Linked DNA regions of Oryzias latipes. The protein of the gene in region 2 purifies or fractionates together with the protein of the main gene of each other region. This does not show direct contact. Links are inferred from orthologs where the notes say so. Each region holds a gene or a part of one and is shown on either strand. Other genes may lie near its edges. The genes, in order: smc3, usp13 and bag6.

What was found.
Region 1: the proteins of usp13 (region 2) and smc3 purify together in Homo sapiens (affinity purification with mass spectrometry; 4 studies listed by BioGRID and IntAct, with this or other methods). This does not show direct contact. The link is inferred for Oryzias latipes from reciprocal best matches to the Homo sapiens genes USP13 and SMC3.
Region 3: the proteins of usp13 (region 2) and bag6 purify together in Homo sapiens (affinity purification with western blotting; 3 studies listed by BioGRID and IntAct, with this or other methods). This does not show direct contact. The link is inferred for Oryzias latipes from reciprocal best matches to the Homo sapiens genes USP13 and BAG6.

What each region holds. Positions count from the first base shown.
Region 1 is NC_019859.2:36,679,552-36,683,800, reverse strand, and holds the start of smc3 (structural maintenance of chromosomes protein 3), read right to left. Parts: upstream 2,886-4,249; 5' UTR 2,706-2,885; coding exon 2,691-2,705; intron 2,200-2,690; coding exon 2,124-2,199; intron 2,014-2,123; coding exon 1,975-2,013; intron 1,891-1,974; coding exon 1,823-1,890; intron 1,703-1,822; coding exon 1,631-1,702; intron 333-1,630; coding exon 253-332; intron 159-252; coding exon 80-158; intron 1-79. UniProt on the Homo sapiens protein: Central component of cohesin, a complex required for chromosome cohesion during the cell cycle. The cohesin complex may form a large proteinaceous ring within which sister chromatids can be trapped.
Region 2 is NC_019862.2:9,004,908-9,008,557, forward strand, and holds part of usp13 (ubiquitin carboxyl-terminal hydrolase 13), read right to left. Parts: intron 2,751-3,650; coding exon 2,628-2,750; intron 1-2,627. UniProt on the Homo sapiens protein: Deubiquitinase that mediates deubiquitination of target proteins such as BECN1, MITF, SKP2 and USP10 and is involved in various processes such as autophagy, endoplasmic reticulum-associated degradation (ERAD), cell cycle progression or DNA damage response.
Region 3 is NC_019874.2:28,127,821-28,131,470, forward strand, and holds part of bag6 (large proline-rich protein BAG6), read left to right. Parts: intron 1-886; coding exon 887-995; intron 996-1,085; coding exon 1,086-1,210; intron 1,211-2,171; coding exon 2,172-2,306; intron 2,307-2,388; coding exon 2,389-2,436; intron 2,437-2,502; coding exon 2,503-2,715; intron 2,716-3,097; coding exon 3,098-3,205; intron 3,206-3,466; coding exon 3,467-3,613; intron 3,614-3,650. UniProt on the Homo sapiens protein: ATP-independent molecular chaperone preventing the aggregation of misfolded and hydrophobic patches-containing proteins.

The DNA.
Region 1 (4,249 bases), on a different chromosome or scaffold from region 2:
AAGGGTTGGTGAGCAGGAAACGTCATGGGGGAGTATTTTGGATTGAAGAACTGTGAAGTTGCTATTACATCTTTCTCACCTTTCCCTGTTTGACGATGTAGTATGGGTTACTGCGAGAGAAACCGGCGCTTTCCAGAAGGTTCATGACGTCGTTCTTACTGCAACAACAGCATGTGGAAGACGTTTAATCCTACATTTGTCATTCTCTGTGATAACAGGGACAGAAGCAGTCACAGCTCAGCAAGAACTCACGTCACCATCTTCTTGTCCAAGAAATATTGGTCCTTCTTTGCACCAATGACACGACGAAGAGAGACTTCCTCTTTGTCAATCTGAAAGGACAAAATTCTCACTTGGTCTGTGATCAACAAAGCTATAATTCAGCTTTAATGTTTGTGAATCCCTTTCATGTTAGGAGCAGTACAACAATATGTAAGTGGCAGAACCGATTCTGAAAGTTGTTCCACTAAAAAATGAAAGATCAGCGATGATCATCATTAACAAGATATAAAGACAAATAAATAAGACCATTAAGGGGCCACAGGTGGAGGCAGGTTGCCAGTATTTTAAAGTTTCTATATATTGTTCTAATAAGTAATCTGAGTAATAACGAGAGCTTCTTAAAGACCCACTGCGATGAAAATGGTGTTTTTAGAATGTTCTTGTGGTATATTTCTGATGACGGGGACATTCATAAAGAAAATTAGGACTAAAACTGCATTTCTGAGTCTTTTATTCTCATCGTTGTGAATCCGGGGAGCAGACGAAGAAATGCAGTTGTAAAAGGATTGTATTTGTGACGTAGAAAATACGCTGGGCGGGGCCACAAACTCCCTGCTCTGAGCAATGGGGAAGGTAGGGAAGGGGGGGTGCTCCACCCAAACAGTCCCACCCACAATTTAGAGGTGAATTTCTAATGAACTCCTGCCGCTCTGCAGAAACTATGACGTACAAAACAACAGAGGTTTTTTGCCTAAAGAATGCATCATCATAATAAAAAGACCACGAGAACGCTTTGAAAACAGATCAGATGATGATCAGAGTGGGACTTTACAGACGTAACAGGCCTGTGAGCTGTTAAATAATGCAAACCTGGAAAAGCAAAGTTACTTCCCAAAGTACTGAGGTTAACTTTAGTTATTGATCAAATACTTATTTTCTGCTCCATTGTACAAATAAAATCTGTAAAAATTAAACAATGTGGTTTCCTGGATTATTTATTCTGTCTCACACAGTTAAACTGCGTCTATGACGAATGATACAGATCCAAAGTCTATTTTTATGTGGGACAGCTTGCAGAATCTGTGACTGACAAATACTTTGGTGCTGCTTTTAAATATTTCTATGGTTACTCACTGCAGGTGTCACAAACACTAAAATACATCAATCATATATTTGGATCAACAGGTAACATTCTACTTTCTTTAGGTCTGTATGTCTACATTTAGAAAAAATGTTGGTGACTGAAGGCAGACCTGCACCAAACTCTGAACAGCCCATAAAAACAAATCTTTTTTTTCTTTGAAAACCAGCTTTTAAAGCAAAAACTGATCGACTGGAATGTTAAAAGTTCCAAAGTTTAAAAATACAAAATGTAAACGAAATAGAACGGATGAAAAGGCTTTCCTACCGGCAGCCGGTTATCAGAGTTGTCAAAAATAATTTCCACAAAAGCTGATATGACGCGTGGACCAGTTCCTTCCTGCAACGGGGAGAACGGCCATGAGAGAGAAAACAAACAAAGCAAGAATGACTCCATTAACATGCAAAAAAAAAGGTTGGTCAGAAATCATCTGGTGGTAAAATTCGACATCATACTTACATGCAGAAGGGCCAGACGCTGTTCAGGCCGCAGATGACTGAATTCATCACTGAGGACGAACTGGATGGCTAGGGCGGGGGGCAAAAAGGTTTGGATTTAGCTACAATGGAAAGATTTAAACTAACTAAACTTTGTAAATGAAGCCCACATACCATAGAAAAAGTTACTTTTTCCAGACCCATTTCTTCCAACTGAAAATCAAACAGAGAGAGAGAGAGAACCATGTTTTAGAGAAAGACAAATATACTCACATGGGAAAATCATGTGTTCCAAAACTCATCATGATGAAGCACAGACTCACCGATGACGTTGTGCTTTGGGCTGAATGGATCAACAACAGTTTGGTCCCGGTAACTTCGGAACCCCTGAATGATGACCTGCACCAGACCACAGCAGTTACCACCCACATATGCCGTAGTATGTATGATACATGCCGTCAAAAGGCCTCGGCTAGCCGGGATCGGCTAGCGATGGATTCATCGGCTAATGCTAAATCTATCATTTAAAACTTGTGAGCTATTCCAGACAGAGGGCGAGTTTATGTACGGTATGAGGGGAACAATATGCATTAAAAACGTGGGCGCAATGTTATTTTGTTCGGCTTAATTCACGCATGGATTCAATTCCGCGCTAACAAAAATTAGCATTAGCTTAGCTTCGGCAAGGGGGGCGTCCAGTCCTATTTAAATACTAAAAGTTCCGTCTGAGTGCATTTAATGGGCTTGCTTGATTAAGAAAATAAATATCTACATTATTAAAGACTACAGACCGGGAGTATAAAGATGTTTTGTGTTCCCTGCGCCTTGTTGCCAGACCAGGGAAAGTAAGCAGCAGCACTGCAGAGACAAAAACCCAGTGGATGACTTACCTGTTTGATATACATGGCTGCCTAAACACGGCGTCTCCTTGGAAAAACGCTGGAGATTAAACTCCTCTCCACCAAACCCAAGATTCCGGTAATCTTACTAATCAAATGTTACAAGATAAACGTTTGTATTCAACTAAAATGAAACGAATTCACCAAAACAGAACAACATGGAAAATGGCGGCGGGGGCGGGATGGAAAGGCCTGTTCCATTATGTCAAAATAGGGTTGTGGTAAAGATGTTAGGCTGAATTCGAGGACCTGGACAAACCCGAGCAGTAGCATGAATGTCTATATAATTTTTTTCTTTGAAATATGTACATTTTTTTTTCTGTGTGAACTGTTAAACGTGTGAAACGTGTAAATCTTTTTCCCGTCACAGTTGGTACATTCTGCCTCTGACGTTCTGGGCGCCAAAGCGCAGCTTCGCGCTGACGCTTCCTCCTGATTCAAGCATAACTACCGTAGACGATGTCCGTTCAGCCGGTAACTGTCAACTATTGAAGCCAGTTCCTCACATTAAGAAAACATGTGATTACAAGAGTAAAATACTTTTATTTTTAAAATGACCCGTTTGAACAAATTGGCCTAAAAGTTTATCTTGGTCTTTGGATGAAGATATAGAAGAGCCATGTCACAAACGTACAGTCACAGTAACTAAATACTATCAACATTCATGAGAATTTATGCACAATACTGTAGAGCAAAGGAAAATATTTTGCTATCTCATTACTATCCTTAGCTTGGGCTGTTTGGTTTTGTACAACGTGGCAAACAAAGTTACAAAACTCTTGGTTTACATGGTTTCTGTAACATAAACACACAAAAAACATGAAGGCCTACACAAACACACACACACACACAGGCCTATTATTGAGAGGGAGAAAAATCTCTCCTCTATATTAGGGATACAAAGATTCACAATTTGGTTCAAACGTTAATTTTTTGGTCATGGTTTTGTTTCGGTTCAATAGTTGTATATTAAAAAACAACAACGAAAGATTCTGGAAGAAAAACTGTTTTAAAAATTTCTAATAAGAAAGTAACAATAAAAAAGTCCAGTTGGCCATTACTAAGCAGTACTGTAAATGTACATTTACATGTAATCTACAATTAACAGAACATGTGATGCACTGACTCCATGTTTTCTTGTTGTCAAAGTTCAGTGGGTATAAAGGAGTAGGCTTTAATAAGCTTTCTGCTTTTCCAACATTTTATTTTGCTTGAGTTCTGTTAGAAAAAACCTCTTGAGTGACTGACTACAGTTATCAGCGAGTGTATGAATGTATCTATTGTTGTTTTTATAACATGTTTGAAATACATAAACTAAAATCTCTCCCCATGATTCAGGATGCGGTTCAGTATGTGTTGTTGTTGTTCACTCTTCTGCATGTCCCTTCAGGGGTCGCCACAGCCAATCAGCTTTCAGGGAGTCTCACAGGTGGTTTGGCAGAGATTGTTACACCGGATGCCCTTCCTGACACAACCCTGTACTTTGTCCGGGCTGGGGACAGGCACAGGGAGACCTGGCCCCTCTTGTAGTTAGGCAGTAGGGCGAAGGG
Region 2 (3,650 bases):
GACAGTGGAATCACTTGTGTCTTCTTTTGCTCATTTACTGCAGTGCCTAGGGAAAAACATAACCCAGGTCAATTCCTCAGGTGTACAAAACAGTTACCAGAGCTGCAGGTTGTTATGCAGCCATGCTGGACACATGTGCGCCATGCCGACTTTTAAAGCTGTTTAGGTCTCTACAGCGAGGATGAGAGTCTGCTAACAAACTCAGCATGAAGCGGAGGAGCAGCACGCCGGCTTTATGAAAATATCCCAAACTCTTGCCATGTACTAATTTTTTAAATTGGCAAAAGTTTCTTCAAGGCTGAAACAAAAAATGGGCACAAGTCAATTGCCAAAAAAATAAATAAAAAAAACTCAACTTCAGATAATCCTATTGGCACAAAAACTCTCACTCTACATGGAAAACACTATGACTGCAAAGACTCGATGAAGATGATTTATTTTCTGCTCTCACCCAGAGAACAACATGTTCTGCAAATGGCTAAGTGGTGGCTCCTATTCTTTGTGTGAGTAATGTCTCACAGATCCTTTTATCTGCACCCAGTTTAAGGAACTGATTAAGTCAGCTCCACATTATGTAATTTTAGGTAATTCATTTCAAAGAAAGGGAAAAGAAGTTGAAAAAGACAAATCACATTACATGTCTTGTTAAACGTGACTTAGTACTTTAATCTGAAAGGATGAGAGGAAGTCAAAGCCTGGAAAAAATGTGTTACTTATTTAAAGTGTGGAATAAGACAATAGTATAGCATTAAAAACAAAACCAATGAGGTGATACAAGTGAACACATTTAAGGGTCTGATGCCTTTGGGTTGATGCCAGATGGGGGAGAACGGACCAATGGGTGATTTGCAACCACGGGAAAAAAGATGCAAAACAATTAAACCTGAGAATGAGATAGAAAAACTACAAATCATTTACCTCCAAGCGCTTTCATTACACAGTTTTATTTGAACAAATAGAGAGACTTTAACCTCATATTAATTGAAACAGAAGCAGCGGATTTGCAATTGAAATTCACCTACAGTGTGACTGAATATAAAATTTAAAAAAACATTTTGACAAGTGTTATTGAATTGAATTTCACTGCAATAATTATTTATGTTTATGTATCGATATGCAGAACAGCTTTGGCCCCACAGTAATGTGTAACCATTGAATGTATTAAGCTACACACCGGGCATGCAACGCATGTTAAAGAACGTATTAAATTGGGGTTCTCGAACACATGTTTAGCTTATGGTGTTCACACTGGACAAGCAGGTAGGGGCATCTTCATTTGCTACAGCGCATGTCTGCCACCTACAGTTGGAAAAGGCTCGGTGAGAAAAGTTGAAGCTGTGCAAAATCTCCGGAATTTTACTTCTGTCTTTTTCTGTTACAGCTCTATTCTGATATCCGAAAGATGTATAATTCCAGGCAAAAACCGCAATTATCAATTTGTCTTCTATGATCAATTTTTAAAAACGGTTAGCACTTCCATGTATTAAAAGAGACGCCATCCACGAGCCACAATCAAATCAGTGTCTTTGATTGTTTAGAGTTCAACTTGGTTTTACTTGCAACACGTGCTTGATGGCACCGCGTTTGGTACACAGAGCCTAAAAACAGTCGTTCAAGAAAAACACATTAGGATTAGCAAAAACATGTTTAAAAAAGGTGGCAGATAAAAATGGTTATTTTGACAAATATAATGCTGTTTTTTCTCAACAGAAGTCTATTTTGGCTTCTTGGAGTCAGGGAGTACTTCCTGTTTGGAAGTCACTCAGGCCAGTTGTCCTAAACAGTCAATGTGTGCAACCCAATAACTTTAAGTGGCTGCTCCACTTAAAATGGCATTCTATGGGTTTGCATTTCTAAGATAGCACACATGACGCATGCTGTTCAGTCCTGAATCAGACACACACTTTCACTAGTTCTTTGTTGTTGCCTTAACTATTTAAAAGCAGAGATTGCCGCCCTGTGGGGCAGAAGTAAAGGCTCTTCTGAGATGTTGTCATCAATATGAAATATTTGGATGACTAAATGTAGCAACAAAGGAAACTGAAGGTTTTTACAATAAGGGACTAAAAAATAAAGGGCATTTAATCTCAAAAAGATTACAAAACAAATGCACCCCATGACAAAGTTTTAAGAACTGTGTTAGTGTTTCTCTATTCTCCAAAACGAGACATTCGTATTAAAGACACTTTCACTGATGAATTGACTCTCAGAAATATTTCACACCTGATGAGAAAAATCTGCAGCAATTTCAACTAAACATGTGCATTTCCTTTTTTCAAAAAGATCTTTGGAGGGACGTATTCTAGAAAACCAAAGCACTGGCGCTCAGGGGAAATGTTGCCCTTTTACCATGACAACAAAACGGAACAATGAATAATGGAGAGATTAAATAAGTAAATAGGAGCCCAGCTTTACATTAGTTCATGTTCAAACATTGTCACTAACAGCACTGAAGGGCCACTGCCAGTCATTCATGGGAGAATAGGAGATTTAAAAAAATAGCCCATGTGGAGCATTAAGCAAAAGAAAGGAGAAAAAGTTTAAAAAATTAGCCTCTGGTGTATTAAAAGTGTCATAAAAGATTAGGAAAACATGGTAAATGAGGGCATTTAATGTGTAGCAGGCACCTCTGGTGTCTTCAGGCAGAACTATGGGAGGCATGAGGTCCGGCAGCTCCTCCTCGTCTGCCTGCAGCCCCGTGGCTCGGAGCCGGCTCAGATCCAAGAAATCTGGAACATCGATGGTTAAATCTGCACAGAGGTAAATAAATATTGTGTGAAACAAAAACCCCTCAAGAAATACTTAATAAGTTATTCTTTTTTTTTCATTTTTTTTTTTTAACTTGTTCTGTCCAACAGCTAGGCAGGCAGATGAGAGCTGAGGGCCTCTTGTGTTGGACATATTTTACTTTAACAAGAGGGGTTATTAATCTTCAGACAAACCAAAGGTGTGACTGAATAAACCCCTTTTGTAATTGAGGCCAAACTTTCTTAATCATTTGTGCGCTTTTGAACAAATCGTCCTACTATGTATGGCGTGACCGTTACCATTGACAGTAATTTTCCGGCATTTGATTTTATTACTACAGTCTAGTAGTGACCTCTGCTGGGTGTTTTCAGTACTACACACACTTCAAAGAGCCTTCAAAGAACCACACAAAATGTATGTATATATATATATATCCCACAGGAATTCCACAGGCAAATGGCAACCTGGAGCAGGCAACAAGGAAAGCTGCAACAGCTAAATACCTCCAACGGGTAAGGCAAGTCCTGAGAAGCCAGCTCAATGGCAAAAATAAGACCCGGGCAATAAACAGCTACGCACTGCCAGTTATCAGATACCCTGCAGGAATAATAAGATGGCCAAAGGAAGAGGTACAGACCACGGATGTTAAGACACGAAAGCTCCTCACCATGCATGGAGGGTTCCATCCCAAATCCAGCACCCTGAGACTGTATGCTAGCCGCAAGGAAGGAGGCCAAGGACTAGTGAGCGTAGAAGCCACTATCCAGGATGAAACATCCAAGATGCATGAGTACATCAAGCTCAAGGCCCCAACTGACAGTGTGCTCAGTGAATGTCTCAGGCAATGGAGAGCAGAGGATACAGTGCTGGAGGACAGATCCTCATGGGAGGACAAACCCCTG
Region 3 (3,650 bases), on a different chromosome or scaffold from region 2:
GAACTTTAAGCTTTTTCTGCAAATTTGTGTTCATGGCAAACGTCTGAATCTACAGGTTACGACTTTGTTTAAACCCACATACGACAAAAATTCACCTTTGATGAATCCTGACTGTCACCATAAACCATTATTAGTGCCAAACTCCACCTTATTGAAATATCTAAAGCCTCAGATGAAATAATTCTATTTACAAACGTATAGAGACGAGAATCCAGAGTCAAAAAACACATTTGATCATATTTGTCATCCTCCTGACTTGGAGGTCGTTCCTGAAATTCACTGACTGTGACACAAGGGGGCGACATTCTAACAGCAGGAGGAGCCAGAGAGGATTTTTTTTTAAACTATTTCAGATAAAAGCTTAAAAAATGTTTTTGTCAAAATTCTGACTACTGAAAAACAATTTAAAGCTAAAAATAATAAATTTCGGCAGGTCAAGTTAAAGATGGAAGATTTTTTTCTCCCATAAACTGGATTTTACCTGCCAGGGAAAGAATTGGCACATAAAAAAACATGAAGTTTTCTACAGTAACTATTTATAAATCGTTTAATCTAAAGAGAGAAAAACACAAATCTTTAAAAAATAATGGAACATTTGCTGTAATTATTTTGAACAGAGTAAAATTTTTGGCAGATTTTAGACCCAAACCAACCTTCACCATGTCTGAAGGATTTGTAGCCTTTTCATTTTAACTAACAGAAATATTGAATATGTTTAAAGAAAACATCCAAATTTGCCAAAATATAAGCTAGAACTTTTAAGAGCTCAACATTTTTGTACCAGAATGGTTAAAACTGACTGAAAACACGGTGAGAACTGGAGCTTTTTCTTCAGGTGAACAAACAGTTTTCCTGGTTGTTCAGAACAGCAGCTTTCTTTGAACAGAGAGAGTCTTCAGTTGCTGTGCTGGACGAAGTGGACGTCACCCAGACCAACATGGCCTTCTTCAGACATCACCTGACCACCATCGCCACACACATCCTTCACTGCACAGGTGAGCAGCGTCACAGATTAGAAACAAAACGTTGGCGTGAATGTGAGGAAACGGCTGATGGTGGATCTAATGCCACCTCTCTGTTTTTAGATGAGACTTTTGGACCCACGCTGCTGAGGATGTGCAACCGCGCGCTCTTCGAGTGTCTCGCTCTGAACCTGCACTGCCTGAGAGGAGACCAGAGGGCTCTGACCGCCGTCATCAACCACCGGATTGTGAGTTTCCTTCTGCTGGTGTGAGAGTTCAACGCACAAGTCTGATGTTTTAAAGTGGCATCAGGTAGTTTAACCTGCAAGAACGCCGACCCATTTTTTATTATTGGACTTTGTCACAGTCCAAGTGGATCATGTGACACATTTCTGATGCATTTCTGTTACACTGATGTCACCATCTGTGTAACCTTATGGTTTAAGGTTTAGGAAATGAATAAATATGTGTCAACACAGATATCACCAGCCCAGTGATCATCAGGTTAAACGCCACTGTTTTTAGCCATAATCAAAAAACAGCATTGTCTTCAAAGGCTGAGTTTCTGCAGAGCAGCACGACTTCTGAGTTTGGGGACTGTTGGTCAGAGCTTTTAGCCCAGCCTCAGTATTTTCTATGTAGCAAATGAGCTCTTCTTCAAAGTGCTTTTTTTTTGGTCTGCTCCTGATTCACAGCGAATCATATAAAAAGATGCTCAGAAATGCAATTTGGAGCTTTTTTGTTCTTAATGTACCTCATCCATCATCAGGAAAAAAACACGATTAGAAACACTTTTCTTTAGAGTGGGTCTTTAAAGCTCTGGTTCAGATATAAATTGAATAAAAAACTAGAATGTTAATTGAAAAAAAAAATTAAAACTAGTTTGAAACTTAAAAGTAAATACTGTAAACCTTACAGAAATATTGTATGTTTGTGGAAAAAGAGATAAAAAACAAAAATTGAAAATAAAAAAACACATTTGTTACAAATAAATAAGACAAATTTTTGGTTTATTTCAATCCAAGTTTTCAGCATTTCTTCAAAAAAAAAGTATATATATATTTTTTTAATTCCAAATGGTCTTTTATTTCTTTCAAGTTTATAATGTGCACTTTTGAGTTTGTGTTTTTTAAAAACTGTTTCATTCCCGTTAAGCTGATCCTGCTGTGACCTCGTCTGTTTGCTGACGGCTCTTCTGCTTTGTTCCAGCGGCGCATGTCCACCGACATCAGTCCCAGCCTGGTGAACTGGATGACCAGCATGATGTCCATGAGGCTGCAGGTCATTCTGGAGCACAACCCCATCTCACAGGAGCAGATCCAGAGCTTCATCGTCCCCCTGCAGGTCGCTGCCACCGCCACGGCGCCACTCTCACGGCGGCCGGGTGTCGTGTTTCTGCGTAAATAATGCATTTCTTCTTCCCCAGAGAGATCAGTCGGCTGCGAGCGACACGCAGGAGCCTGAAGGAGCAGCGGTGAGTCTCGCCACAGTGTGTTCAGATGGACCGGGACCCCCCCCCCTTACCTTTCTGCCTCCTCAGATCGGGGACACTCATTCACCGGCCGCCGCCACCACAGCAGAGGAGGCCATGTCCGGGTCCCACGACATGGCAGCGCGGGAGACGAGGCCGTTGCCTGGAGACCTGGGAACGCTGGGCGGAGCTGCGCCGTTAGGCGGGGACATGGCGGGGGCGGAGGGAGGCAGCGAGGAGGCGTCAGGAGAGTCGGAGACGTGGGCTGCTTCTGTTCCCCCTGTAAGAGCGTCCCTCTGAACTCTTTGACTTTTCTGAAGTTAGTTCTCCTCTGGTCTTTGAAAGCACCAGAGAGGGAGGGGGTGTTGTTGCTGCTGTCACCCGGGTAACCCTCAGTAACAACCTGTTTGGCATCAAGTGGGCAGTAGGGGGCAGTGTTGCTCCACAGTTTCCACACGAGGAGCCTGGGACCAGAATCTGGAGAAGATGATCGGAAGTTGGTGAAGCAAACGCCAAAAAAAAAAAACTCGCTGAGGTTGATGAGCTCCAACGTGCGTTGGGAGTGGGGTCATCTGGACCCCACAAGACAGTACAAGGGCTATAGAAGCTGCAATTAGAAAAGAGATGCTGGATTCAACCTGAACTCTGTTGGGCTGCGTTGCAGGAGTGGGTGCCCATCATCAGGTGTGACATGATGACGCAGAGGAAGATGAAGGCTCAGCCTCCGCTGTCCGACGCCTACCTGAACGGCATGCCAGCCAAGCGCCGAAAGGTAGACCTCACTTTGTTTCTGTATTTTCGTTTTCATCAAAAGCACAAGTCCTAAAAGTTTGGTTTTTTTATACAAAAATAAGGCTTATAAAATAAAAAGTAAAATATGATTAGTGATGAAGCAAACTGCATAATTTGCAGAAAGACGGCTAAACACGGCACAGTGGGAATCATGGCGATCAAACCCAGAAACGGCAAACTCTTTCATTTTCTTTGTACGGTCTTCAGTGTTTTTAATAAAAATTTGTTTGTGTGTTTGCAGACGGGGCAGGGCAGCGGCAGCCTCCTCTCCCTCTCAGACGCGGTGAACCAAGCCGCCAGGACCGCCGGCGTGCGACCCATCACCTCCGCCGAGCAGCTGCAGGGAGATCTGGACTCCCAGGAGGTGAAGGAGGCGTATTCAGAGCAGGTAACCATGGAGACCCCCTCAGCTTTTTAAGGCCCAG